4 linked regions of the Mytilus edulis genome follow. The protein of the gene in region 4 interacts with the protein of the main gene of each other region in a pairwise test. Links are inferred from orthologs where the notes say so. Each region holds a gene or a part of one and is shown on either strand. Other genes may lie near its edges.

Evidence for each region.
Region 1: the proteins of cytoplasmic protein NCK2-like (region 4) and actin nucleation-promoting factor WASL-like interact in a two-hybrid assay, tested with the Drosophila melanogaster proteins (2 studies listed by BioGRID). The link is inferred for Mytilus edulis from reciprocal best matches to the Drosophila melanogaster genes dock and WASp.
Region 2: the proteins of cytoplasmic protein NCK2-like (region 4) and insulin-like peptide receptor interact in a two-hybrid assay, tested with the Drosophila melanogaster proteins (2 studies listed by BioGRID). The link is inferred for Mytilus edulis from reciprocal best matches to the Drosophila melanogaster genes dock and InR.
Region 3: the proteins of cytoplasmic protein NCK2-like (region 4) and serine/threonine-protein kinase PAK 2-like interact in a two-hybrid assay, tested with the Drosophila melanogaster proteins (3 studies listed by BioGRID). The link is inferred for Mytilus edulis from reciprocal best matches to the Drosophila melanogaster genes dock and Pak.

What each region holds. Positions count from the first base shown.
Region 1 is NC_092344.1:35,959,017-35,966,711, forward strand, and holds the start of actin nucleation-promoting factor WASL-like, read right to left. Parts: upstream 3,024-7,695; 5' UTR 2,981-3,023; coding exon 2,885-2,980; intron 1-2,884.
Region 2 is NC_092347.1:4,564,536-4,571,929, forward strand, and holds the start of insulin-like peptide receptor, read left to right. Parts: upstream 1-4,386; 5' UTR 4,387-5,073; coding exon 5,074-5,200; intron 5,201-7,394. UniProt on the Drosophila melanogaster protein: Has a ligand-stimulated tyrosine-protein kinase activity. Binds 3 insulin-like peptide ligands.
Region 3 is NC_092346.1:105,566,981-105,574,108, reverse strand, and holds the start of serine/threonine-protein kinase PAK 2-like, read left to right. Parts: upstream 1-4,110; 5' UTR 4,111-4,265; intron 4,266-7,128.
Region 4 is NC_092346.1:20,317,541-20,325,341, forward strand, and holds the start of cytoplasmic protein NCK2-like, read left to right. Parts: upstream 1-4,775; 5' UTR 4,776-5,105; intron 5,106-7,801. UniProt on the Drosophila melanogaster protein: Adapter protein that links cell surface receptor tyrosine phosphorylation to downstream signaling pathways and effectors, many of which are involved in regulation of the actin cytoskeleton.

The sequences.
Region 1 (7,695 bases), on a different chromosome or scaffold from region 4:
TGCATACTAGTAGTCAGGACTAAGATTTAAGAATATAAAAAGAAAGAGAGTTGCACCTGGCTATTTTGGGCTACATGTAGGTACAAATGTAGCATACTGCAATATTTACCATTCAAAGAATAGTGTTGGTGGATGTTAGTTTTAACATACATATTTCATATGTTTACAATTCTTTACTGGAATTTGATGTGGTTCTTCAGAATTTTATCAGAGACATATACATGATATATGAAAATTGATTTTCATTGAACTTTTTATTAATTTACAGTGGAAATTTCGACTTTTACATGAAATTTTACTTTTGAAATTTCAATATTTCAAAACTTTAAAAAAATGCTTAATACTGACTTTAAAATCTAGAAATTTCAGCTTTTGTTTATTTTTGTAGTTCTGTGGTATTCTGTGGTACATGTAAAAAGACACTGCAATATGGCTGATGCAATTAAGAAAAAGGGAAATAACCCTATCTAAATAAAAGTTTTGAAAGTCCTCCGTTATGTATTGTAATATGGACAAGGAACTTATGTTCATGTACATGTACATGTCATTAAAATCATATTTCTGAAGTTGAATTAAAGTAAAATTGACATGTATCCCATTGTTATTGTCTTTCTTTGTTTTAAATAGAAAATGACTATATTTGACCACATAAAATGTTATTTTGGGTTTTGAGCATGTTTTCAGGTTCTCTAAATACTTTTTTAAATAGCAGAATAATTATTATAAAATATAATTTAACTCGTTAAATGTCCTTTTCATGTTATCATTTCATGTCTCATCAGATGCCCTTTTTCTGGTTGGCAAATCCAAGCTGGAACTGTATCAGGCCAGTTTGTTCCCAATTCACATTCACACCATACATGTCATCACCTCACAGGGTCCCCCAATAGGTCCATTCGCACCAAAAAGTGTATTTAAAATTTTTTCAACAAATTTATTTTTTAAAAAGACTTCATGCATGACATGAAAAAGAAACATGAAAAAGGCACTTTATTAAGAAACAATGAAAAAAATATGTATAGCAATAATACACTAACCAAAACATGATCAAGATTTATTCATCCTAAAAAACCGTTGTCAAAATGTCACTTTATTTTGAACATTGAATGGAAAAAAATATATATACATATAGAAACTCTCAAACCAAAACACGATTTAAGATTTATTCCACACAAAAAATGTTTTCAGAAAATCAATGTGTTGTGTAACATTATATTTTTTATAACAATACAATATAAACCAAAACTCAATTACAAATTATTAAACACAAAACCGATTAAAAGGGTGCAAATGTGTAGAGTGCAAAAGTGAAAGAAGTGGAACTTGTTTTAGGGCGAACGAACCTGGATTCAGCTGCACACAGGCTAATCCCATGCAAATGTAGCTTGCTTAAAAGTAGCCAAAAATGTTAAGGAAAAATATGGGATTTTTCTCAATAATTTTTTTTGTTGACATTTCTGAACTTTACCTTTTTTTTCTTTTAAAACCTATGCCTACTGAAATGAATATCAGGAGCTCCACATATTATCCACAGTTTGTACTATCTGTGACTGCTTCATTTGTTCTAGTTCGGGGATATTCACAGATTGTACTATCTGTGACTGCTTCATTTGTTCTAGTTCGGGGATATTCACAGATTGTACTATCTGTGACTGCTTCATTTGTTCTAGTTCGGGGATATGCCCAGTTAGCCTTATCATGTGACTGGGTCAAATGGCTGAGAAGTAAACGGAGTTGAACAGGCTGATTTAAAGATGGCGACAGAAGTTCAAATTTATACTTTTTGGTTTCCAAGTTGGAGAATATAAAAAATGAATATGTTGATAATAAATATGTATTTTTTATATGCAATCTTTTTTCGAGGCCTTATTCATCATAAAAACATTTCTCTGAGATGATTTTGAAAAATTTGAAAATAAAATGTACATTTGTAGCTTTACAATTTATTATCGTCACATTTAACCATTGCAGTATATCATATAATGAAATTGTTTCAATCTTCACCTTTCAAATTCCGACAATTTATCCTAAATTACGCTTCCCATCATACATGTACTTTTATGACAGGCTGATTGCTTGCTGGTGTGTTAGGTTAAACATATTTATAGTGGATTGGAAAACAAGTTTTACAACTTATATTAATCCCTTTCCACTTAGCGGGTGCAAGGGCTGCCTTGTAGCGGCATTAGCCTGCTCTTTTTCGAAATCTACAACGATGTCTTTAACGTGCAAGAGATACATGTATGGCTCTCTCTTAACATGGGTCAGCCATTTATCGTCCCCTTCCTACAGACTATCATCGTTTCCTCAAGACCATACTCTCAAATGATGTCAAGAGAGAGCTGAAAATTCAGTCCCTGAAATTTTCATCCCGAAACTGAAATCGAACCAGGAACCTTTGTGTTAGTAGTCCGATGCACTAACCACTACACCACATCTTTCTTACTGGTGTGTTAAAACTGCTGAGAGAAGTGTATGAATATGTGCGCCAGCTGATTTTACAGCAAATGAAGCGACTGTGTCTATAAAGGAAGCACCAAACGGGCTAATCTGGGTTAAGCAGCTGTGGCAAATGAAGTACATGCACTATCTCTGAGTTCAAAATATTCACTTAGTAATAAAGAGTTGTTCCCCTTTTTGCAATTCAACATGGTCAATCTGTTTGCTGTTGAAGCAAAGTTGTCATTAGTTTACAGTAAAACAACGGAAACCAATTAAACTTTACCCATGTTATACGGCAAATAAAAATGTTAAAGCTAGTATGATGATGTACTATAAATAAACAGGTGATCATAAATTGACATAATGTTACATAGAAACGGTTAGATTTAGAATTAAAGCAAAAGGGAGTATCTCCTGTAATTCAATGTTTGCTTATTCTTACCACACAACCTCTACCGAGGATGTTGAAAAGTGCTTCGTTTTCATTGTCATTTAACAGAATAGATGACACATTCGTGTTTTTTTTCTTCATAGACATTTTGTAAATTTTCTTTGAAACTTCCGGGTTGTGAGTAACTGAAATAGATAGCCTCTATACAAAAACAAATTTATCAAATCTATGGATATATTTGAATCATAGTGAAATTAAGAATATAAAATATATTTGTGTTTATGTAATAATGAAAAAATGTAACAACTTTCTTTAGTTTATAACTAATTTTTAAGAATTTAAGCGCGGGAGTTCCATTCGGAACCATTGTCATTTCCGAATGACACAGACACACGACAACAAATAGTCTCGATTACCCAGACGCTTGAATTTGTAATCAAACGTCTGGGTTTTCGCAATGGTAAAAATTCTTATGACAGATTTCTGTCAGAGACTCGGAACATTTTGGATTATTCGTCGACCCTATGAAAAGTAACGATAGTATCCAAAATGATAGTTTGACCCACAACATCCAAAATGGCAGCCTCCATGAGTGCTTGTTTTTTTATCGACTTCAACCACAGAACATCAACATGCAGCTAGCATATACGTGTTAAAGGGTCATGGTGTAATTAATATGTTGTCAAAAGGCAGTAGGTGAATTGTAGGTTATAGTTGATAGGTTTAAAAGCAAAAACAGTAAAGTCGCGCAACATAAATTTATTGAACAGTTGAACATCTGAGATCATCTGAGCACAGGGTTTGAAACAAACCCCTGTGATCTGAGTTTCAAAATAATTTTAATTTAATAATTGTATTAAAAAGACATTGCCTCCAACAGGTTAGGAACAACCCCTCAATTGCATGACTATCCCTTAGGGAGCTACCATTTGATTTTTATGGGAAGGGGGGGGGGGGCTAGGATGAAAAATTTTGTCCTGAATTTTTTTTAGCTGTAATATCTGTCCTGCCTTTTTATTTTTCACTCTGTTCGGTCCTGTCTTTTTTTTTTTAGTTTATCCTGACTTTTTTTTACCTAAATTGCCGTCCTGACTTTTTTTTTTTTGCAAATGTCTCATCCTGCCTATTTTTTTTACTCAAAACTCCTGTCCTGCCTATTTTTTTCAAATTTCATCCTAGCCCCCCCATAAAAATCAAATGGTAGCTCCCTTATATGAGTAATACATTTGAAGTGATTAATTTTGTTTTTGTTTTTTTATAAAAGCCACTTTTTAGTACAAAATTTATGTCAAATGAGCATATATTTATATTATTTGAAGAAATGTTTCACATTGGCATTGAAAGAACTATTTACATCTATCTGGTATCGTAAGTTCAAAACATGTCCAAGAGTCCAAATAATTTTGACACTTTGAAAGACTATTTTATATTTTTGCTTACATGTAGATGCAAAAATTATAGGACTAGGCATGTTTTTTTCTGTGATGCCTTCCCTCTCTAAACATTCTTTTTTAAATTTGTATGGAGCTTGTGTACCTTATTTGGTCTTCTGTCAGTCCTCTTTGATTTAAAGTCTTTAATATTGTATTTCTTTGTTACCCTGGTAATGGTTTATAATATGAATAAAACACTGCAAGTATGCAACAGCTGTACAAGGTCTTATTTTATTGAGTAAGACCTCAGACTATTATTATAGACAATTTTTTACTCAGGTGATTCAATATTTAATGTATAATAAATTTGTTTTATTTTGTAGAGCAAAGCAGTATTGCATTGATCGATTGCTGTCAATATTCTTCTATGGATTTTTGCAGGATTAAGTAACTCATGATTTTATGTACTGTGCATATGTGTGAATTGTAGTCGTATGCCTTTATATAATATACTGAGTTGCACATCAATCAACAGAATTTCACCAGATATTTTTGGCTGTGAATGGTTTTAACTAAAAGAACAGGAAAATCTGATTATTTTTATTTACATGCCCTTCAATTTAACATAAATCTACATACATATATAGCCACATCGAGATAGTGTTTGTTGACCTACTTTCTACTGTATTGTTATTCATTGCAATTTTATTTTCTTAATATACCCTAACAACAAGGATTAGAGGCTTGATAGACTTACTAATTCAGTTTACTAGGTTATTTCTTTTTCCTAGTATTTATAGTCATAAAGAAGGACACAACGCAACAACAAAAACTAAAGAAAGCAACACAAACCCTACCAAAAACCATATATTTTCAGTATCATAGTTCCTGATAGCCTTTTATGAAATATTACAATTTCTGCAGTTGGCAATTAGATAGATAGCTGGGTATTTACAAATAAAGCCATAAAAGGCATGCTTTCAAATTAATAGTATTATTTAACCCTTGTACAGTGTTATGCCTTAAGCTTTAGTTCAGTGGTTGTTGTTGGTTCATGCATGTAATTTTTAATTTTCGATATTTTTTGTTTTGTAATAAATTAGGCCGTCAGTTTCTCATTTGAATTGTTCATATAATTTATGTCTGGGCCTTTAACAGCAGACTATATATGGGTTTTACTCATTGTTGAAGACTGTACAGTTGCCTATAATTGATAACATCCACTTGATTTGAACTTTGATTGAGTTGTCTCATTGGCAATCATACTCAAATGTACCTTTGTTGTTGGGATATACAAGTACCCGGCCACGTCCACTCTATGTAGTATTTCTAATTGTATCCATCTGATGACTAGCCTTTTTCAACTGATTTTTTTATAGTTCGTTCTTATGTTGTACTGTTACACCACTGTCCTAGGTATGGGGGGCGGGTTGGGATACCGCTAACATGTTTAACCCAACCACATTCTGTATGTATGTATATATGTGCCTGTCCCAAGGCAACAGCCTCTAATTCAGTGGTTGTCGTTTGTTTTTCCTTCATCTTTATACAACTGTATATTTGTATTACGTTGTATGGGTTTTGCTCATTGTTGAAGGCTGTACAGTAACCTATAGTTTTTCATTGGAAATTATATCACATCTTTTTTATACTCATCTTTTTATTTTTATGCATGTTAAATAGCCTTGTAGGACTTTCAATCTTAGTTCATTTATGTTTTGAAGTTTTGTATGACATCTATTTTCACTGAACTAGTACACATTTTGTTTTAGAGTTCAGCTAAAGCCTGCCTGAGGGAGCTGGATTTTCTTTTCTGTGATAAGAAGCATTGGTGTCCTTTGGCTGTTTTCTTCTACTTAATTGTCTCTTTGACACATTCCCCATATCTATTATCAATTTAATATATTCAACATTAAAGTAGATTTTTTTATTCCTACTTGTCGTTTGACTGTCCAAAGTAGGCATTTGCAAAACTCCTAGATGGTCTTTGTGTCCATGACATAAACATGATAAACTGTAATGCCACTTATTTTCTCCATCATAACAATTGATTTTCAGTAATTTAGAAATATCAGTTAGATTAACAATGTTTTTTGCCATGTTAGAGCATTTTAAAGCTTACTATAGGCTATGGATTTTGCTCATTGTTGAAGGTTGAAAGGTGACCTACAAATTGAATGCACAATATTTGAACTCTGGTGGATATAAATCTCAGTGGCAATCATACCATATCTCATTGTAATTATAAGCATTCAATGTAATGATTACTTTTCAGAATCATATTAAGGTACACTCGATAGTGTTCTTTCTTCATTCTCTTTGGTTTTAATATTAAAATGCAATTTTTAGGATAAGTGTTTCTAGTTTCAAATTGTATTTTTTTAAGCGGGTTTTATGTCAGAAATAAACAATGTAAAACGAAATACAACAAATAGCTACAGCTAATTTATTTTCATGGTATTGTCAGAGGCGGATTTAGAGGGGGCCAGGGGCCCCTGGCTTCCCCTTTTTTGGAAAGAAATTTGGTTGATTATATAGGAAATCACTGAAGCATGACTGGAGTGGGCCGGACCCCCTCTTAGGCAGTCAGTGGGCCCCAACTTATGAAAATTTCTGGATCTGCCACTGATTGTGTGATAAAGTGGTTATTAATGTACTGGAAACAAATAAGAAATATCTATTTAAAATCACTCAAACACCATACCAATTGTCTATTTAAACTTTAAAAAAATACTTGTACTTCATTCAGCAATGATCTTTGTCATTTGTTTTTTCAACATTCTACTCCATTAATAACAAAAAAGTCTGTTTAGAAAATCATACAACCAAAATAACAAATGCAATTTATTAAGAAATGAGAGGCATTGACGACCAAGATGATAATTCTATGGATGCTGTAATGTATTATCATACATGTATGACACTACAATGTAGTATGGACATCAATTACAACTATTGCACAAGTATTGTAAGCACAGTTGGTCAAATGGTGTCTACTCTTGTTTCTTTATTTCTTCACTAGTATCTGAAAAGCAAAGTAAATTCTGTGGTTATAATCAGACTATACAACATTTTTGGTAATGGATATCATGAAGTGGCTAATTGTTATTACATGTACAATTGTTACAGAAATATTTATATTTTAAGAGTTTTACCCACAATCCTGTACCAAAATGTTCAGGGAATATTATTACAAGTTTATATGTTTGACAAAATGCTCAGAACTATACAACTATACTGGTAATCGTTACTAGTTTACAGGAAACAGACATATGAAAATTATACAAAGTTATTTTCCTATGTGAAACTTTACATTGAAAATCATTGTGTACAAATAATCTTTATTCTATACCAAGTATGGCTAATTTGACAGAGGTACAGAATGAGACTGTTATGAACTATAAATCATATACAAGCAGTGTATGTTCACTTTTAACACCTGATATAACCTGGGTTTTAAGAGGGTTGTATTGTGTTTGTAGTCCATAC
Region 2 (7,394 bases), on a different chromosome or scaffold from region 4:
GGCTTTGTCAGTTCGTTTTTAATCATGAGTTTGATGTCCCTTTGATATATTTCGTCACTATTCAAGTAGTAAAAGGTTTTAAAATTGTAGATCAGTGTAGCTAAATGTATCATGATAACGATTTGGTTCTATATATATATCATCGTGAGCAAATTCAGTTATTTTCGCGGATATTTGTCTTATTGCGTTAATCTACTTCACTTTACTTTGAGGTGATTTTTTGGCTGATTTTCATTACTGCAAGTTAATGTGTTTAAAATAAATTAATACCAAAGGGACAATCACCATGAACAAAATAAGATTAAAGTCCAAGAGATGAACAACAGTCCAAAAAACACGGCATACCATGAAAACGAACACTCCTAAAACAGCGAATGATCTTATGAGGTCAGGAAGGGTATTTAACTTTTTCATTTTGTTATTTCACAACTGTTTATAGTGTTTTACATACACAATGACATGCATTTGTATTTTTAAAGCTTATGTAGAAAATACTCAAAGCATATTTTATCATCAAATAATTAAAGCGATTAAACTTCTAAATACATTTAATATGACTTACTATAACACGATTTTAAACTAAATAAGAAGCAGCCGCATTTTTATTATTTAGTTCGTTTACATTCCGCTTTAGACAACCAAGTGTTTCTAAACTAGGTTACTTATTTCAATGTTGCCTACGATTTAGTCGCAAAGTAATGTTTGCATTTAAACAAGATTACAAAAAGTAAAACAGTTTGACTTCGTAAAAAACATATTTTAACCTCAATTATATTTTGCTTTTTGAATAATTTTTAATTTTTTTTAGGATTTGTGATAAATTTCAATTTTTGGGAAATTTTGCGCATCGAATCTCTTATTTTTTGTTTGATTTGGAAATTATGTATCATGTTCCATAAAGTTCATATGATCTTCTGGAAAATTTTATGGTACAAGAATTAGAAAATGGCGTTTTATTTAGTAATCGCAAAAATTGGAATTTTTTTCATGACCTTTGACCTTGATTTAACAAAAATTGCACCGTACGATTTTTTTACGACCGGGTAAAACAGAAAGTACAGATTAACAGCTTTCGAATGATATATAATACAGCCGTGTGTTAGGTGGGTGCATTAAAGTCGTTAACTAAGCGTCTTTTTGAAATAAGTCACTCGCCTATATGTAAGTGTGACATAAAATACAAACTATGAAAAAATATCATATATCCTAGTTTATTTTTTGTGTGGGCTAAATTTATTAACAACTTGTGTTTTTTTTTTCCAAATGAAAGTAATTTACTCTATTTGTTTGTTTGGTCGATGTTAGTTGAAAGCTACTTAGCTATGATTTCATGTGAAAATGACCGAAAAATAGAAAAAAGAAACTCAAGGTGAGTGGACGGAAAATTCTTTTCCTTTTTTTTGTTGCTTTTCACTAATAGAAGTTAGCCCTCCTCTCACATTTCAGTTGACTCCTTCGCCACTCTGTATAATAGGCTGATTTTTTGCGAGCAGAAAACTTAAATAAACGAAATGGGGTATACTTTCTGCTACCTTATAACGTTTATATATGTTTATCCCCTAATTTAATAGTGTTTTTTTTTAACAGTATGTAGTATTTGTATATTGAGATACAGCTACAAGGAGTGTTTTAGATACGCAACAATGAGTGTTTTAGATAAAGCATAATTTATCATTTTGATAAAAATAATGAAATTCTTTCAACTACTTAAATTCTTTGAAATCCTTTTATTTATTTTTTTATGAAAAAATATTTATTAAAATAAAAATTTGTTAAAAAAAACCGCTATACAATTTCAGTTATATATATTTTACTCATTTTAGTTATACAATCTACCGTTAAAATAAAAATAATATAAAAATTACACACCTTCATAAATTAAGATATTTGAATTATTGTGTCAAGAAAACGCAAAAAAGAGAATCGAATGACAACTTCATAAGGAAATTACGGTAATGAAGATCCCACTCTGCCAACCTACAATCATTCATCTTCAATGTCATATATATTTTTGTCAATATCAATGCATATGAGACAATATCTGAAAAAGTCTAATTTCCATGTCCCTCACTTCACCAGCAATTATTTTTTTATTCAACCATCTTTTTCGAAAATTTTAAGTTTTAGTATAAACTAAATTCTATAATGCACCATGGCCTGCCAATTAAACACTCATTCTTATATTTCTTCCAATAAAATATTGTGATTCAAATGTTCAACCCCCCCCTAAAATCATGTTGTCCCCTGTGTTTTTTTGAAAACTAAATCATTCAAATAATATCCAAATTAATTAAAAAGGCGTCCGATTCTCACATATATGATATATTATGTAATCAACTTGCCCCTAATTTGTCTTTTTATATTATAACTATAGCATGTAATAAAATTTTGCCAATTTTAAGAGAAAAAAAAATTGTCCCCAGGGGTGATTTCCCTCCTGTTACCACTGGGTTTTTTTTACCTGTGGAAACGTTTACAAGACCAAGAGTTATTTTCCCATTATGTATTGTGAAGAGCATCATTCCCTGAATGTATTAGTACAAAGAAATAGTTGGAAAGGCGGCCAGGTTTGAAAATTCAAGCCCATCCAAGGTAAGAATTTATAGAAAAATACTTATTGGTGTTCTATCCTGTTATAGCCTTTTTTTACACTTTCTGAGAATATTTTTAAGTGTGCACCACAACATTAAGTGTGTTTTTATATCATCTTTTTAAAAGTTATATGTCACAGGAAATACACTTACATTTAATGTGATAAAAAGGACAAAAACTATCGCGTAATTCCTTTCTGTTACGTTCTGTCATGTTACCTGATCAAAAGTAACAGCATAACCATCATCAGTAACAGGAAGGATGTTCAAGACAATTTCACTGAAGAATCGAACAGTTAATCTACTATATGCCAACCATTTCATTTAATGTAAGTTATCACCACCATATCAAATAAATTTCAAAATAATATACAGTATATTGAATAAAAAAATAGGTTTTTTGCTTTTGATAACAGCAGAGAACATTGTGCAATTCTAGTATAGTAGATAGTAACAGAAAGGAATTTATTTTAGAATTTTTCATTACCTAGGCAGATTTTTCATCTTGCAAATACAGTTTCAAAGGATAAATGACATTGTTTGCTGTTATCTTCCAATTGTGACCAATCTAAAATGATTTATTTTTCTTAAACTTTAAAATAAAGCAGAAAAATCCTTTCTGTTACCAACTCTGTCCTGTTACCGTTGTCCTGTTACTCAAGATTCTTTCATGTTACCGACATATCTGACTATATTTAAGTATATTTCTAAACCTTTTGTATTGCAAATGCTAAAATCAATAATTGGCATTTGATAAACTATTGCAGGATATACTAGTAAACCACAAATAGTGTCTTAAACTTATTCCTTATTCCCATTAGAAACTTTTAAAAATTGATTCACTTTGGTAACAGGAAAGAACTGTATTTTTTTTGTACCATTTTTTAAATTGCCATTGTTTCCTTAATAAACAATTATTTGAATTACAGACAACAGTTCCTAGATCCCCAATGTGTGTTCTTCGATTTGTGCTATTAAAATACCGGGTCTAAAGAATTTTTTTTGGTTTATTCTTATTGCCAAAAACTAGACTTTTTCAGATATTGTCTCATATAGCAATCATGCCACAGTCGAGGAGTTACAGTAGACAATTAATACGTGTAGTAGACATTTTTTTTAACAAGGAAATGCTCCCAAAACAGCCAGATGCATTTACAGATAAAGTTTGCAGAGCAATAAAATTTAAAAATGCTCAGTTAGATACAAACTTGTAGGATTGCGTTTTATAGAGAGAAAAAAACCTTCCGACTAAAATTGATCGTGATTTACATTGGACCCATGCAGGATGCAGGCAGCTGAAATATTAAATATTTTGGAAGTTTTTAATACGATCACAAAGAGGGGTATAAAATTAACTTAAAAATGTTAAATAGTATGCATAATCGCATTATTATCCCATTTGATAAATAATTGCTGAACATATTTGTTTGTGTAAAATTCCCAATCAATGTTTGATTTAATATTGTTGTAATTTACCTTTTTTCGGAATAAAACAAATCACTAAAAAATCGTGTCTGCATTTTAATGAAATTTATAAATATCTCATAGAAGCATCACATTTGACAAAACCATGACTGCCTTTATTTTTTCTGTTCATTATATTGCCCCTATTGACTTGAACAAATACCAAACACATTTTTTCTGCAATTTATAGTCTTTATCTACTTTAATTGCAGGGTTTTCAAATACTTAAAAATTATGAAATTATAAATTTTAGTAAATTCTGTGTAAAAAACTGAAGGAAACCGGTGTTAAATTCCACAATATATCTTTGACGTCATTGGCAATATTTTAGAAATTAGACAAAATGACCACAAGCGGTAGTCTACAATACTACAAAATAGACTTTAGGTGGTGACCTTGATCGTTTTGGATACGAAACTACAGCATTGATCATGGTTGTAGCTCTGAATGACTAATTGACCAATCATCTAACGAGGTTGTTTACGTCTTGTTTTCCGCTATGTACATTGAAATGGAGGTAAAAAATAAGTATTAATTTATCAAATACACATTGGAATTCTTTTTTTGTGATGTAAAAATCGGTCAAGGTGATACTGCAATACATGTGAGATTAATTCGGATGCTCGGTTTTACTGTGGACTGTGAAAATGATGGACATTTCCGGGCTTGTTTTGCATGGTTTTTCAACAAACAATACAGAAGTTCAAGGCCTATTTCATGGATAGTTGTACTGAACAAATTATGAAACATTCAAAACGAGAATTTCATCAAAATGTAAAACCAAATCATCAATATTGTATTGGATTCATGTCTTTATTTTCATCGCAACATGCACATTTACATTTCGATTTCTCATGGCCCAGGTTGCTGCCTTCATCACCATGTGTGAAATCATTCATCCAGATTCATTGATAAAATGACGATCAACAAAAACAACAGTGTGTACTTACTAGATATTTGCATTACCAAATTCTGTGATATTGTATAAACGTTTATTTTTAACATTTGATAGACTAAGATGAGATTTTCAATGGCTTCATCATGTATTATTATTTTCGTTTGTTGTGTATTGATGTCATTTGTGACAGGCAAGCGTTTGAGTGAAGGTTTCAACTCTCCACCAGCAACTGAACGAGAAGGAACTAGTAAGTTTTCTTAAACAGTTTATTTATCACTAAAATCATTTTAAGAATGAACATAATAATGTTTACTAAGACTTAGACCTTCATTTTTGTACTTTAATTAATATTTGTTCTTTGACTTTATTTTTACTCGCTATAGTAAATATGTAGTATAAATATAATCTCTTTTTTGTAAAATTTTTGATAACATATGTTTATCTGCTTTTTTTTCAATTGATTTTACTTGCAAGTCTTTTGATTCAACAAAAGAAATTGCTTGCCCACTCCTACATTTTGTAAGTATGGGTGGGCAGTGGACAAGCTAGAAATTTTGCCCACCTGGTGCCCACTACCACTGTAGACGGGTGGGCAAAGCAAAATAAGCCTGTAGCATGATATAAATATATAAGAAGATGTGGTATGAGTGCCAATGACACAATTCTCCATCCAAGTCACAATGTATAAAATGTTTACAATTACAGTGAATTATCATGATTATAGGTCAAAGTACGGCATTGGACACCGCCTTGGCTCATACCAAACAGAAAGCTAATAAGGCCCCATAATAACAAGTGTAAAACAATATAATCTGCAGGAAAACCATTGGTCTTATGTGTGTGTGATTCTCTATTTATAAAAAAACAAGACACAAGAAACATTTATGAGGGGGATAGGACCTTTATTCAGGATCGGGTGTTTTTAAGCTCGGAATTTTGGAATTGAACCTTTCAGGATTTGGAAATTCTTTTTCAAATTTCGGGATGTCAGGATTTAAATTTATTTAAATTCGGGACTTCAGGATTTCGTGTTTTTAAGCCCAGAATTTCAGGATCAGGACCCCTCCTACCTCCCCCTCATTTATTCACCACTGTCATGACTGTCCAGACCAACAAACAAGAATCACTGAACAACAGGCGCATGACTTAAGACAGGTGCTTACAAATGTCTTTCTTATTCTCTGTGTTGATAATGACAATAGATGGGTCATGTACAAAGGTATATGATCTTATTTAAATATTTCATTAGCTGGAGCTAAAAATTTGAAGTGAGAAAAACAACATTTGGTGAATCTAAATCTTGCAAACCTTAGTTTCTTATACATTGTATGTCCTACCCATTTACATTTAAATGTAAATAGAAAGAAAATGTACATGTATCTTAATTTGAGAATGGGAATGGGGAATATGTCGAAGAGACAACAGTCCGACTATAGAGCAGAAAACACTTACTATTTTAGTGATATGTGTGTGTTTGATGTAAATTTTAAGAGTGTTCCTATGTTACCTTATAATTATCCCTTTCCTCCATAATGATGCCTTTTGACGCCTGTATAGTTCCTCAGTTAAAATGTCTTGCCTACGAAAAAACTTTATCAGACTTGAAAAAAATTGTATCTAATATAAAAAGGATATTCAAGAGAATATCTGACTGGAATTTCGTTGATGAAATATTTGTTTTCACAATGCATTAATACTTGAAACCTAATGACATTTTTTAATTGAAATGCTTATATAAGGATTTTAGATTTGTGCTTTTTCACTTTTTTTGTCAATTCTGTTTACGGTAGCATGTATACTTACATGTATAGTGTGACTGTGCACATTTATGTTATACTATAGTTGTTTGAAGTGATGTTTATCAGACAAAGTGGCACAACTCAGACAAAAATTTCACACTGACACAGTATGGTTGTTTCGATTGTTAGCTAAACAAAAATTGCATTCAATATCAAATAGAGAAAAATTGAAACAGAAATTGAAAAAAGTGAACGTCTTTCTGATATTCAAAATCTCCTTAACATGCTTATTATAAGTGGAGGAAAATGAGACAGTTTGAATAGTCATTTTATGTTTAATGCCAAATGCCATAGCGGATTGGGCATAAAGATTACCCTCGTCCGTCTGTACGTACGGACATACATTTGTACGTAACATATTTGTACATCCGTACATACATGACATACATGTACATGTACATCCCTAAGTTGGTTTCCATTCTCTAACTTTAGTTTGCTTCAACCAAATGTTAATAAACTTATTCAAAAGCTTGTTACCACAAAACACAGATCAAGTTTGAATTTTGGTGGCGTCACATACATGTACTGTACCGTTCTCGAATAAAAAAAATGCTGAATTTTTTGTTTTCGTTCTCTTTCCTTAATTTGCCTTAACCAAATGTTATTAAACTTATACACAATGCTTATTACCACAAAATACAG
Region 3 (7,128 bases), about 85 Mb from region 4:
ATGAACGCCGTACTTAACTCCAAATTATACATAAGAAACTAAAATTAAAAATAATACAAGACTAACAAAGGCCAGAGGCTCCTGATTTGGGACAGGCGCAAAAATGCGGCGGGGTTAAACATGTTTATGAGATCTCAACCCCCCCTCCCCTATACCTCTAGCCAATGTAGAAAAGTAAACGCATAAAAATACGCACATTAAAATTCTGTTCAAGAGAGGTCCGTGTCTGATGTCAGAAGATGTAACAAAAGAAAATAATCAAAATTACAATAATACATAAATAACAACAGACTACTAGCAGTTAACTGACATGCCAGCTCGAAACTTCAATTAAACTGATAGAAAGATTATGTCATATGAATATCAGGCACAACCTCTCCCGTTAGGGGTATAGTATCATACCATCATAACATATATGAGAACATAACCCGTGTCATGCCAACAACTGGTTTTTAAATAAATGTGTTTAGTTCCGATGCAAAGACCCTATAAGCGAATCAATATTAACGCCAAAATATCCAATCTTTAATGACCTGACAACAGTATCGTAACTATATCCCTTCTTAATAAGTCTATGTAAAGGTTTTGTTAGCTTCTGAGGTGAATACTGATATTTTTGTGCTTTAGAAAGAATATTACCATAAAAAAATTGGATGTGAAATACCTGAACGTATATACATGTTGAGATATATTTACGAATGATGTCCTTGTACCGATGGTAAAATTGCCTTTCCGTTATATATCGTTTAAAAAGGTAAAATAAAAAAATTATTGAACTCCGAGGAAAATTCAAAACGAAAAACCAAAAATATTCCTACATGGAAAACGGTCTATATCTTTTTTCTAGTCCTGGTTTAAATCAACGTTTAACATATTCTGAATTTTGTCTTTTGCATTGATGGTTGAACTATGAGGTTTTTGTCAGAAGGAAGACAATATCACTATAGTAAATATAATGAATTAAATGCCAATATAGTTTTAAAAGAAGTGCACCTGTAGCCCCCCTAAATTTGTCACATTATTTTATTTTATTTTTAAAATAGGAGTTCTGATTTCTGACTCTTTTATATGTTTTAAAATTGTTTGATTTCGATCCTAGTTAATCATTGTCCTCAACATCCGCTTTAGAATCATTCTAAAATGTCATAAATATCTTTAACGTTATAGATATGTGTAGCTTTGTCATGGTTTTGTGTGATCTTTCTAATGGCTGTGATGACGGGGCTCACATTTGATTTGCTCACAGCGACAGGTTATAATATGACTGTGGTGGCAGAGTTCACATCTGATGTGCTAACAGCGACAGGTTAAAATATGGCTGTGGTGTCAGGGTTCACAGCGACAGGTTATAGTATGGCTGTGGTGGCAGGGTCACAGCGACAGGTTATAATATGGCTGTGGTGGCAGTGTTCACAGTGACAGGTTATAATATGGCTATGGTGGCAGCGTTCACAGCGACAGGTTATAATATGGCTGTGGTGGCAGTGTTCACAGCGACAGGTTATAATATGGCTATGGTGGCAGCGTTCACAGCGACAGACTATAATATGGCTGTGATGGCAGGGTTCACATTTGATGTGCTAACAGCGACAGGTTATAATAGTGCTGTGGTGGCAGCGTTCACAGCGACAGGTTATAATATGGCTGTGGTGGCAGTGTTCACAGCGACAGGTTATAATATGGCTATGGTGGCAGCGTTCACAGCGACAGACTATAATATGGCTGTGATGGCAGGGTTCACATTTGATGTGCTAACAGCGACAGGTTATAATAGTGCTGTGGTGGCAGCGTTCACAGCGACAGGTTATAATATGGCTGTGGTGGCAGTGTTCACAGCGACAGGTTATAATATGGCTATTGTGGCAGCGTTCACAGCGACAGACTATAATATGGCTGTGATGGCAGGGTTCACATTTGATGTGCTAACAGCGACAGGTTATAATAGTGCTGTGGTGGCAGCGTTCACAGCGACAGGTTATAATATGGCTGTGGTTGCAGTGTTCACAGCGACAGGTTATAATATGGCTATGGTGGCAGCGTTCACAGCGACAGACTATAATATGGCTGTGATGGCAGGGTTCACATTTGATGTGCTAACAGCGACAGGTTATAATAGTGCTGTGGTGGCAGGGTTCTAATATCTGATATGTTCACAGCGAGAGGTTTTAATATGGCTGTGGTGGCAGAGTTCACAGCGACAGGTTATAATAGTGCTGTGGTGGCAGGGTTCTCAAATGATATGTTCACAGCGAGAGGTTTTAATATGGCTGTGATGGCAGTGTTCGCAGTGACAGGTTATAATATGGCTGTGGTGGCAGCGTTCACAGCGACAGGTTAGAATATGGATGTGGTGGCAGGGTTCACAGCGGCAGATGATGATCAATCAATCAAATAGTATTTTGATAGACAACTTCAAGTGAATCCCAACCGCTAGCCACCAAATATGTAACGAGTAACCAGGCGTTTATATCTTAAACGAACGTTCCAGTAAATACTTGGATTCAAGTTGTCCACAAACAATACGTCAAATTGACAATACCAAAAACTATAACTATCTATGCTATGCACAATGAACTAAAATATACACACTGACTCTTTACCGATATAAAGTAACAACGGACAATTATATATATACAAATATAATACAATACAGCCTGTCCCCAAGATGGGACGGTCTGTCACATAAAGACAGTATGGCTGGTACAGTCTGTCACTACAAGACAGTGCGGACTGGTACAGCCTGCCTTGTCAATCCTATCAACTTGTACGTTTACTTTGTACCCGGTACAAAGTGACCTTTGAATATTATTAATGCTTATAAGCACTTAATATAACCAACGTACGCTCTGTTGACTTATGACGGCTCATCGACAGCCAACCGACAGCCTCGAGTGCCGTTGTTCATTCTCTTATATACCCGTGGTCGAATTCACTACTTTTTGGATAGGGGTGTTCTCTAAATGTTCTTCATACGGGACATAGGGAGCCCCTTGTGATCACTCCTATAATCTTCGACAAGGCACTAACTTTCCCGCCAAACGTCTAAATCTGCCTAAGGGAGCTACCATTTGATTTTTATGGGGGGGGGGGGGGGGGGGTGTGGCTAGGATGAAATTTGAAAAAAATAGGCAGGACAGGAGTTTTGAGTGAAAAAAAAAAAAGGCAGGATGAGACACTTTGCAAAAAAAAAAAAGGCAGGATGACAATTTAGGTAAAAAAAAGTAAGGATAAACAAATAAAAAAAAAGGCAGGACCGAATAGAGTGACAAATAAAAAGCCAGGACAGAGATTAGCCCCCCCCCCCCCCCCCCCCCCCCCCCCCCCCCCCATAAAAATCAAATGGTAGCTCCCTAACTCTTTTTCTACAGTAAACCATGCATTTCTACAATAAGATCCTACTTATTAGTAACCTCAACGACCAGTAAACATAACAGAACCACAAAAACGTTTTTGATATACATAAACGATTTTCAAGAATACCTCAATCACAGCACATTACGACTCTTTGCTGATTATAGCATCATATAGCAATGAAATAACATGTCAACAAGATTGCACAAAAGACCCCTCACAAAAGTACAAGCGGGTCTAAATGTGGCTGTGAGATGGGAGGAAGATTGGTTTACGACCTTATCACACACTGAGAAAAAAGAAACCATTCAAACGTTAAAGCATCCTGAATAACCATATTTTAATACTACTAGCATCAACAAAATATCTTGGTGTAACTATAATACAATGGAACATGTTTCCACTAATTGTAGTATCATGTCAAACAATTGAAACCTTATAACAATCCCTAATGTAAATGATTGAAATGAAGTACTAAAAAATTCAGATAGATGTTATCATGATAGAGCTACATAAATTTCTTTAGTTTAACGCAAGTCATGTACACTTAAAATTCTAGACAGGAAGAACCATAAAATCATTACATTAGGGATTATTATAAAACATATTAATTTACATTGCGTCTAGCATCTAGACATTTAATCATATAGTTCCCTAAAACCTATACCAATTTCCATAACCAAAAAATCTGTGTCTTGTGATAGAAGTAGTAGTACAAGTGTACAAAGAGGAGTAACTCTTACTTAGCTTGAAATCTCGAACAGGTGCTTGTTTCCTACGGGACTTTGCGTGATCTGGTACCGAACCACGAAAAGGAAATGTCAACTTAAAAAACTTGTTACTATTTTCCGGACTACAGTAATAAAGTGGTTCAGCTGGTACATTGCCAGTGTTAGTCGTCATTTGAAGCTCAGGTAATCATACAATTAACTTAATCCAATCACACCTGTGATTAAATCCTGTCATTTACACAGGCATCCCTTTTGTTTATCAATGAATGTAAAAAGATAACCCTTGTCCAAATAGTTATGATGTCTTAGAAGACTAATTTAATGTTTGCCATGGTGCTGTCTTACGGAATGTTATTTAGATATCAATTCTGAATTTGAAAAACAACCAAAATTCCAACTAGCAAATCGGAGCAAAAAATTAATTATTTGTATAAAGAAACAATATCTGATTGGAATACCAGACAATCTGGTGTGTGCCAAGACAATTGAGAGCTTTAAGACCTCTGTTGCTCTCACATTGTTGGACTAACTTACTAGTGTCTCTCTCCTGTTGCAATTGATGCCATAAACTGGCCCTGCAACTTACAAATGACTTGCATGTTCAGATTCAGATGTGTAGAACATAAAGTCATAAAATTTAAAGTTGGAGAAATGGAGAACCCATAAACATGATGAAACCAATTTGAAAAGGTTAAGTGTGTAGAAGGACAGAATTCTATAATTTATCAAATTCTATTTTTTTCTTGTAAGACCATTTGGTACGTCATATTAATTTGTAAAATTCATGCATTTTCTATGTAAATTGTGAATCAATATCATTCTAAATAGCATGAGAATCACAGGCACTCGTCTCCAGAAAAAAATAAAATTCTGAGACGAGTACCTGTGATGAAAAACCCATTATATAAAATGTAAGGATGTATATAAGCTCCATAGAGCTTATATTTTCTGTCTACTAATTCTGTATCTGTACGAGTATGTTGTGGATACCATTTACTTGCTTTTATACAAAGGTACAGACTACAGAGAGATAGTGTGCTGTGGATTTATTGATGGTGTGTGAGAGCAGTCTTGAAGCTCAGGCCATAAAAAAGATTGTTTCTTTGCCCTAACCCTACCCCCTATCCAAAAAATAGCTGCCTACTCAAAATCTTTTATTGTCCTAATGTGAAAAAGTTTTTTTATGCCCCACCTACTATAGTAGAGGGGCATTATGTTTTCTGGTCTGTGCCTCCGTTCGTTTGTCCGTCCGTCTGTGCGTCCGTTCTCGCTTTAGGTTAAAGTTTTTGGTCAAGGTAGTTTTTGAAGAAGTTGAAGTCCAATCAACTTGAAACTTAGTTCACATGTTCCACATGATATGATCTTTCTAATTTTTAATTTCCAAATTAAAGTTTTGACCCCCAATTTCACCGGTCCCCCTGAACATAGAAAATGATAGTGTGAGTGGGGCAATCGTGTACTATTGACACATTCTTGTTTTTAATCAGAAAGGCATGGAGACTAAAAAACATTTCGCATTTTTTGTCGAAAAAAAAAAAGAAAATGCCTACCTTCTTCACACTGTTTCAAACCAAATATTTTTAGTGTGGCCTCAATGTGTGCATTGCAGTGTCAGCAATGTGGTTCCACTCAATCGCTGTTTTTACAAGAAATGAATTTGAATATTGTGGTGTTTTTCAGTTGAAAATTTCAAAACACTTGTATTATATTATATATATATATATATTTTTTTTTTTTAGTGTTGTTTTATAACTTGCTTTTTCCACAATATTTGTTGTCTGATAATTTTCAAATTTCTTGACAATTATTTTTCTTCTAAGATGTGAGTCAGTTAGATATTTGTCTTTTTCTATAGCAGGAACCTGTCAACCACTTTGAACAGAAATATTAGCTTCTGACTTTAGCGTTTTGTCTGTCATTCTGTAGATCTTGTAATTCCAGGTTGGCAAGAATGAGACCCGCCCATCATCTCTGGTCTTCAGTTATAAATCTTGTATGCTGTTGTATTCTTTCAAACTTGTTGATTTTCTTAGATTCACAGGGTCCCATACTATTGCTGCATACTCCATTGTTGACCTGACCAGTGAGATATATGCTATCTTGTATGCATTTTCTTGTATTCTTGTGGGCAATATTTCAAATTCTTCTCAGGAAGCCTAAGGTTGAGTTTGCCTTCTTCACTAAATTGGAAAAATGGGTAGTCCATGTTACATGTAAGTCCTCTGAAATTTGTAGGCCCATGTATCATGTGTATGGGTTGATGTTGGACTGAAGAACAAGGTTGGCATAAAAGTGGTCAATACTAGAAGCAAATATATAAGATGTGCTTAACTTTATCTAATTAAAATCAAAAAATTGTGAATAAATGGCATTACAGATACAAAGAATTGTGAGTTATTGGCCTTACAGATTCCTGAGAGAAACAAAGAATTGTGAGTTATTGGCCTTACAGATTTCTGAGAGAAACAAAGAATTGTGAGTTATTGGCCTTACAGATTCCTGAGAGAAACAAAGAATTGTGAGTTATTGGCCTGACAGATTCCTGAGAGAAACAAAGAATTGTGAGTTATTGGCCTTACAGATTTCTGAGAGAATCAAAGAATTGTGAGTTATTGGCTTTACAGATTTCTGAGGGAAACAAAGAATTGTGAGTTATTGGCCTGACAGATTCCTGAGAGAAACAAAGAATTGTGAGTTATTGGCCTTACAGATTCCTGAGAGAAACAAAGAATTGTGAGTTATTGGCCTTACAGATTTCTGAGAGAAACAAAGAATTGAGAGTTATCGGCCTTACAGATTTCTGAGAGAAACAAAGAATTATGAATTATTGTCCTTACAGATTCCTGAGAGAAACAAAGAATTGTGAGTTACTTGCCTTACAGATTCCTGACAGAAACAAAGAATTGTGAGTTATTGGCCTTATAGATTTCTGAGAGAAACAAAGAATTGTGAGTTATCTGCCTTACAGATTTATGAGAGAAACAAAGAATTATGAATTATTGTCCTTACAGATAGCTGAGAGAAACAAAGAATTGTGAGTTATTGG
Region 4 (7,801 bases):
ATCATTAACGAAAAGCTTAATACTAAAATTTATGATAAAAGAGATGATTTTTCATTTCCTATCGTTAATTATCCATTTTTAGATGGTGACGTTCCTTTGTCACCATCTTACGGTGTTTATATATCTCAACGTGTACGATTCCCGCGTGTATGTAACAACGTTTTAGATTTTAAAGAGAGATGTATTACTGAAAAATTATTACACCAGGGTTTTCAATATCACAAACTAGTCAAAACATTTACTAAAAATTTACATCATCGGTACAAGGACATCATTCGAAAATATAGCTCAACATGCAGACTTCTTATACGTTCAGGTATTTCACATCCAATCTTTTATGGAAATATTCGTTATAAAGCACAAAAATGTCAGTATCCACCTCAGAAGGTAACAAAACCTTTAAATAGACTTATTAAGAAGGGATATAGATACGATACTGTTGTCAGGTCATTAAAAATTGCATATTTTGGCGTTAATATTGATTCACTTGTAGGGTCTTTGCATTGGAACTAAACACATTTATTTAAAAACCAGTTGTTGGTATGTCACGGGCTATGTTCTTCTCATATATGTTATGACTAGAACACACCCGCGAAATCGAGGGCATTCAGAGCTTGGTTGAAAGTATGTAAAGTAGACAGTGGTTGTCGTTTGTTTATGTGTTACATATTTGTTTTTCGTTCATTGTTTTGTACATAAATAAGGTTGCTATTCAATTAAACTGATGGAAAGATTATGATTTCATCATATGAATATCAGGCACAATCCTTCCCGTTAGGGGTTTAGTATCATACCATCATAACATATATGAGAAGAACATAACGTGTGCATACTGTTTACATTGAAATATGTGGTAACTTTTCATTCGAGGTAGGGGCAGTTAAGAAAATTAGTGTTAGTTTAAACTCTGAGAAATTCAGGGCATATATACGTTGAAAATATGCCGCACAGCTCGGACTTCTCTTGAACTGAATTTTAATGTGCGTATTGTTATGCGTTTACTTTTCTACATTGGCTAGAGATTTGAGATCAGAGGGAGGGTTGAGATCTCATAAATATGTTTAACCACGCCGCATTTTTGCGCCTGTCCCAAGTCAGGAGCCTTTGACCCTTGTTAGTCTTGTATTATTTTTAAATTTAGTTTCTTGTGTATATGGAGTTTAGTATGGCGTTCATTGTCACTGAAATTTTAACTAGTATATATATTTGTTTAGGGGCCATCTGAAATACTCCTCAGGCTGCGAGAATTTTTCGCTGCATTGAAGACCTGTTAGTGACCTTCTGCTGTTGTCTGTTCTATGGTCGGGTTGTTGTCTCTTTGACATATTCCCCATTTCCATTCTCAATTTTATGTATATAACAATAATATTTAGTTTGCTTTTAATTTACTGATAGCAAAATCAATATTAATACCAATAAAACCAATCTTATTACAGTGTTGAATTGGTAACCTTTTAGAATAATAAAATAATTTTATTTAAAGGATCGTCTGACTTTCGATAAGTTTTACAGGGTCGTTTCTAAATTTTCGGGCACGGTAAACAGCATCTCTGTAAAAATGAGGATGTGCTATCCTGTTTGAAATATTTTTTCTACAGGAACGACCAAACTTCAAAACCAAATCTTTATATCTACGGAAGACTTTAGTAAAAGTTTTAAGTAATTTGTGGTAATGTAATCCCTGACTTAATAATTTACCAGTAATACAAACATTACGTTCGTGAAAACGTCACAACAGACTTGGGTATATAGATTTGGTTGTGAAATATAAACACCGAAAGATGGTGCCAAAGGAACAATACCATCCAAAAAGCGAAAATTAACAATGGGGAACGAAAAATCAAGACAGGAATATCACTGAAAAGTTATTGTTTTTAATAACAAGATATATTTTATAACACATCCAAATTCCAAATATATATATATATATATATAACTCGTCTAAACATCAACCCAACAATGTTAGATCTGTAAATTTGCTTTCGCAAATATATATATATATATATGTAAAGTCTCTGAATGATTGTATAATAAAAACTATAACACAAATTCCCATACGTTTCGGCCATTACGGCCTTCTTCATTGGAATAAATTACAACATTGAAACAACAATTACATCGCTTGGATACATTACGTTATAATAACTTCTATGACGTTCATTTGCCGCGTTTTTCGCTTTTTTAATATAAATATATTTATTATCGTTCATACATTGTGTTGAGTCCTTCAGGTTCTAAAGTTTTTAATTTCTTCATCCAAAAGGCTTCTTTAGTTTTTCTGTAAACTTCTGTCCCAAATACTCTCTCTATGGCGGTAACTTTCAAATTTGTCATTGAATGATTGTTCTGAATGAAATGGTTGGCTACCGGATCTTCTGTTTTTTGTGTGCGTATTTTTGAAAAGTTCAATAGCATTCGTTGATATAGTGTATCACCCGTTTGTCCTACATATATAACTTTTTCACATTTTGTACAATTAATCGCATAAATCGCTTCCAAATGTACATTCAATTCATAGAAAAAATCTTAAAATTCTCCATCAATCTGAAAGACTAAAGAAAATATTCCCCGATCCGCCTATCGTGGCATTTAAACGCGATAACAACATAAAAGACATCTTAGTGCACAAAAAGCATAATTTACTATTTTATAAACAAACTAATGGATGTGGACCATGTGGTAAAAATTGTGCATTATGCTCACATATAAATGAAACCAAGGTATTTTGTGACAACACCGGCAAAGAATATACCATTCAGGGACAAATAAATTGTAAAACCGTAGGCGTGATATATGCGAAAAACGCGGCAAATGAACGTCATAGAAGTTATTATAACGTAATGTATCCAAGCGATGTAATTGTTGTTTCAATGTTGTAATTTATTCCAATGAAGAAGGCCGTAATGGCCGAAACGTATGGGAATTTGTGTTATAGTTTTTATTATATATATATATATATATATACAACTCGTCTAAACATCAACCCAACAATGTTAGATCTGTAAATTTGCTTTCGCAAATTTCTGGTTCTTCCCTCGCCGGGATTCGAACCCATGCTACTGTGATATCGTGACACCAAATCGCCAGCCGTCCCGCTAGACCACACGACCACCTGGGCTATATATCACAAATTAGCAAAGAATGAAAAAAGTCTACTATTTTGCGTGTGTAATCCCATACCACCATAGAGCTGCATGCCTCAATCTGCAAGCTGATCTTGATGCAGCTTCAAAATGAGAAGTGGACTGACTGATGGCCATCTACCCGACAGGTGTAATGCTCTCTCTGTCACAATCAACCTTTAAAAATTAATTACACTCTTCACAATCATATTTTAGAAACTGTTACATCTGCTAAGTACTAAGGCATGATCATCACGCCTAAATACTAAGCAGAGCCGCATCACATTACAATCATACCTAAAATGGGACAAACATATAGATGACAATACCTCGTAAACTTGAAAACATCAAATCAAATCATTAACAGCCAGAGATACCAAGATGGTAGTCCCAAACTCGAGTACTCTTGCTCTGTTTGGGACCCCCACACTTCAGAATCTATCTCGAAGCTAGATGGTCCAAAGGAGAGCTTCTCTGTATGCCTGCAACGTGCATCATACCACTAGCAGTGTATCAAACATGCTCAATAATACACTCAACTGATCACAATTTACTCAACCAACGCAGATTATGTTCACGCCTGGTTATGATGTACAAGATCACACATCATCTTGTTGCTATACTATCTAGCACAGTTCTCATACCATCAGACTCAAGAACTAGAAAACATCATTCTCACACCTCCAGACATATTTAAACATCTAAAGACTCGTACAGATTTTCATTTTTCCCATAAACAATTAGTCAATAACGCAATGGAATCTATTATTACCAACTACAGTTGTTAATACATTTAAAACAGTCGACTCTTTCATAGAGCAGCTTACATATGTTGTTCTCTGCCCGGGCCACTCTATTTTGAATAGCTTCTTCTCCTGTAAATAATTTTAATCACTACGTCTGTTCTCTGCTGCAACATTATTATCAATATTTTTTGTATATAACTAAAATATTAACTTTTTTAAAACAAATAGGCCACGTATGCATCAGTTATTAATCATCTTCATTCAGATGGAAGACTGGAAAACAACTTAAGAAGAGGAAGGGGGCAAGTTCACCCTAGTAGAATGGCCGAATCGATTGTAGACGTGTCACGGAATAGCATTTCCTTCATTATATAATATCCAAAGGGAAAAAATGTTCTGGAATATTATTTCCACAGGAATAAATATTACAGTAAATGTTCCCAACGGAATAAATGGTATAGAATATTTGTTCCAACAGGAATAGATATTATGACAATGTTTATAACAAAGTTTCCATTGGAACTTCTGTTAGGTGGAACAAATATACGTTGACAGACGAACCGCCAGCCGTTTTTGGTTCTTGACGAACTGCCACTTTGTTGGATGTGAACGAACTGGTAGCGTGGACGAAACGACCTGTAGGCGAACTTGTAGTGTGGCCGAAACGTCTTTTTTTTTTAAAGATAACACAACATCAAGGCCGAGAGGTATCTATGAGGGTCCACACTTTTCAATTTCGTTATGTTATGGATCAAAATTGGTATCTAGCTTTTTCTCATCATATTCCTTGCAACCTTGCAGCAACATTTATTTCTGCTACCACATCTTTTCGTAATAAAATGCAAATAGAGGAACACCCTTTTCAAACAGCTTCCCGCGATATTTTTGCTCTCGCGCATGAATCTTTAAATGGGTGGGACTATTTTACTCTAATCAACATGGCTGACCAAAACACCGACTTTACTTGTCAAAAGAATACCGCAGAAATGAAGTTTGTTTGATCTATATAAGATAATATTGGAGTGACTATTGAACAGAGGGTATAGAAAACTTAATATCTGAAAGTAAAGTTGCTAATAATACTGACACAGAAGGACTTTTCGCGATACTTCCTACCGTTGTTCTGTGGGTGACTCATCTCCGAGATATCGGTCATGGAATAATAAATGAAGTGAGATAATGAAGGAAAACCAAAAACAATGCCAACTGTCAAAGTCTTAAAAATATGAGTAATTAGGTAAGATATTAAGATGGTTAGTTAGCAGACATGTTTTATATATACAGTTTTAACCGATTATGACAGTTTACAATGAATTTCAAGTAGAAAACATTGGTTTTATGTTCTCAAAAAGCCAGTCATCTGTTGATTGTTGACTCAACTTCTTACATTGTAGATGTTATCAGGTCATTTCATACCCATAGATTGGGTGTTAACCTAAAAGATGGTGTATGTATACATGTTAAAAACTATTAATAGCTTGATGTAGTAAATTATGTACAATGACATGTTTCATACATGTTTGTACTTTCTATTAATTGGAACTGTCCCACCACCACACTTAGAGCAATAGGTTACTTTGTAAGAGGTTAAACACCAACACAGGACCACACAATGTCAATGTACAAACTAATCAACCATTTATAGTTTGATCTGATACATCATTGCTAGCCAAGGGTTACAATCCAGTCCCCTCGTCTCTACCCTTTTTGGCGGATCTTAACCCTTTGCGAGCAAAAATGTTTCTGATAAAAATTCCATGCACTTATACAATGTAGTTATATGTTTAAATTCAAAGAAATTGGAATTGCTGATTTACCTCTGCATCCTTCCTAGACATCTGTAAGATCATGCAACATTTATCTCGGCTGACAGCAACCACCAGATCCAAATACATACAATGTAATTTTATATTTGTACAAGTCATAGATTCTTGAAACTTGGCTCTAAGCTTCAATGATCTGATAATGCTATCTTGACTACTGTGTGACATGTTTTGCAGTTCTTTCAATGTTTTACTTCCTGTTCGCCAAAAACTTTAACATTGATAAAAGAGGGACGAAAGATACCAGAGGGACAGTCAAACTCATAAATCAACAATAAACTGACAACGCCATGGCTAAAAATGAAAAGGACAAACAGACAAACAATAGTACACAGAACACAACATAGAAAACTAAAGATTAAACAACATGAACCCCACCAAAAACTAGGGGTGATCTCAGATGCTCCGGAAGGGTAAGGAGATCCTGCTCCACATGATAACATACAATGTACATCTACATCGTACATCATACATGGAAATGGTACAAATGTAATGTCCCAATTATTGTCTCTTCAAGGATACTCATGGCTACAATATTTCAAGAATCCCAAATCTAATACAAATGCTGATCAAAGTAAAAAAGGACCTTTTAACTAAAAATAAAGTAGTGCCTAAATGGTATTATACTACAATTTGTATATTGAGCATTGACATGATTGCAGTCAGTAATCATTATAATTCTGAAGGGTAAGATACCTGAAGAGGAAGAAGAAGAATAATTTACCAACCTTTCACTGTTTATGAATAATAATGGTAACAGATTATTATTTGGGGTTTCTAATGAATCATTCATGATAAGGATAATTAAACGAATCACAATAAAATTTTAACCAATTTGACGCTGAAGGGAAAGGGCCTTCCTTCCCTCTTGTATTGTCTTTATTGTCATTTACCAGGTGTTCATTTAAGCTTTTGCTTTAGTCATGTTAGTTTTTTTGTTTTTTTATCTGGGTAATTTTATTTCCAAAGTCTGTGTTGTTTTTCTCAGTTACAGTCTTTTTTTTATACATTTGAAGTTGCATTGGTGATGTTACACATGGTAGGAGGACAGTAATTCATTGATCCCCTATTGCATGATGTATCAACAGATTTTATTAGAGATATAACATAAAAGTGTGTTACTAGACTATTGTACCAGGAATTACTGGCCCTTCTGTTGTTAGTATCTATACATGTAGCAATACATGCAGTAGGTAAGGTTTTAATATCTGTTCAAGGATATCCATGGATGAAAATTTATTTTTAGCTACATAACATGAAAATGTTTTTGTATTCTGTAGAAAATTTTAAAACACACACATATATTGAAAACTGAGGGTAGAAGCTAAGAAATTTAAAGAATCATATTAAATGACTATTTTATCCTCGAGATTTTATCATAGAAAAAGCACTTTTATTCTTTTCTTTTTCTTGAAGTTGTTTAAAGGTAATACATGTAAAACTTCATTTGTTACAATACAAGCAACATCTTAACCAATTATTGAACTTGATATAGCGGCAGCCTGGAAGGACATGAAATGTTGGTTATAAAAAAAGTATCCTATTTTGAAATTCTTGAAAAATGATGTGATCATGGACAAATGATGGATATTTTGTATTAAATTTTTTTACTGTTTCTCAGCTTACAATGGCATGAATGGCTTAAACCACTGTTCTTGATAGAAAATAGTCTTTTAATTTGAAATTTTCTTAGAATGTGTCTTATCTTCGGTTTTATTTGAAAAAGAGCCTCAAGGAAAATGTCTAACCTTTAGTGAAGAAATTAACAGGTCTTGTTTAATTTTAGATATTATTTTGCAATATACATGTATGTGTAACCTATACAGTAGACATGTATATGTAATCAACTAATAAGTTCAAATATCATGATCAGTTTGCTGTCTTGTCCAAATCATAATGCATGGAGATAAAAAGAAATGGTAAACAATTTTACAGATTTTTATTGGACTTAATTAACTAATAAGATTAGCGAATTATTATTTAAAAATATATTTTTATAACTTTTAGTGTTCTTTTACCAATATCTTACAATAGTTGAAGGTATCAATTTTATATAGCTTGCAGACTTTTGTGCTAGTAGTTTGTACAAATCTCACTGTAAAGACGCTAC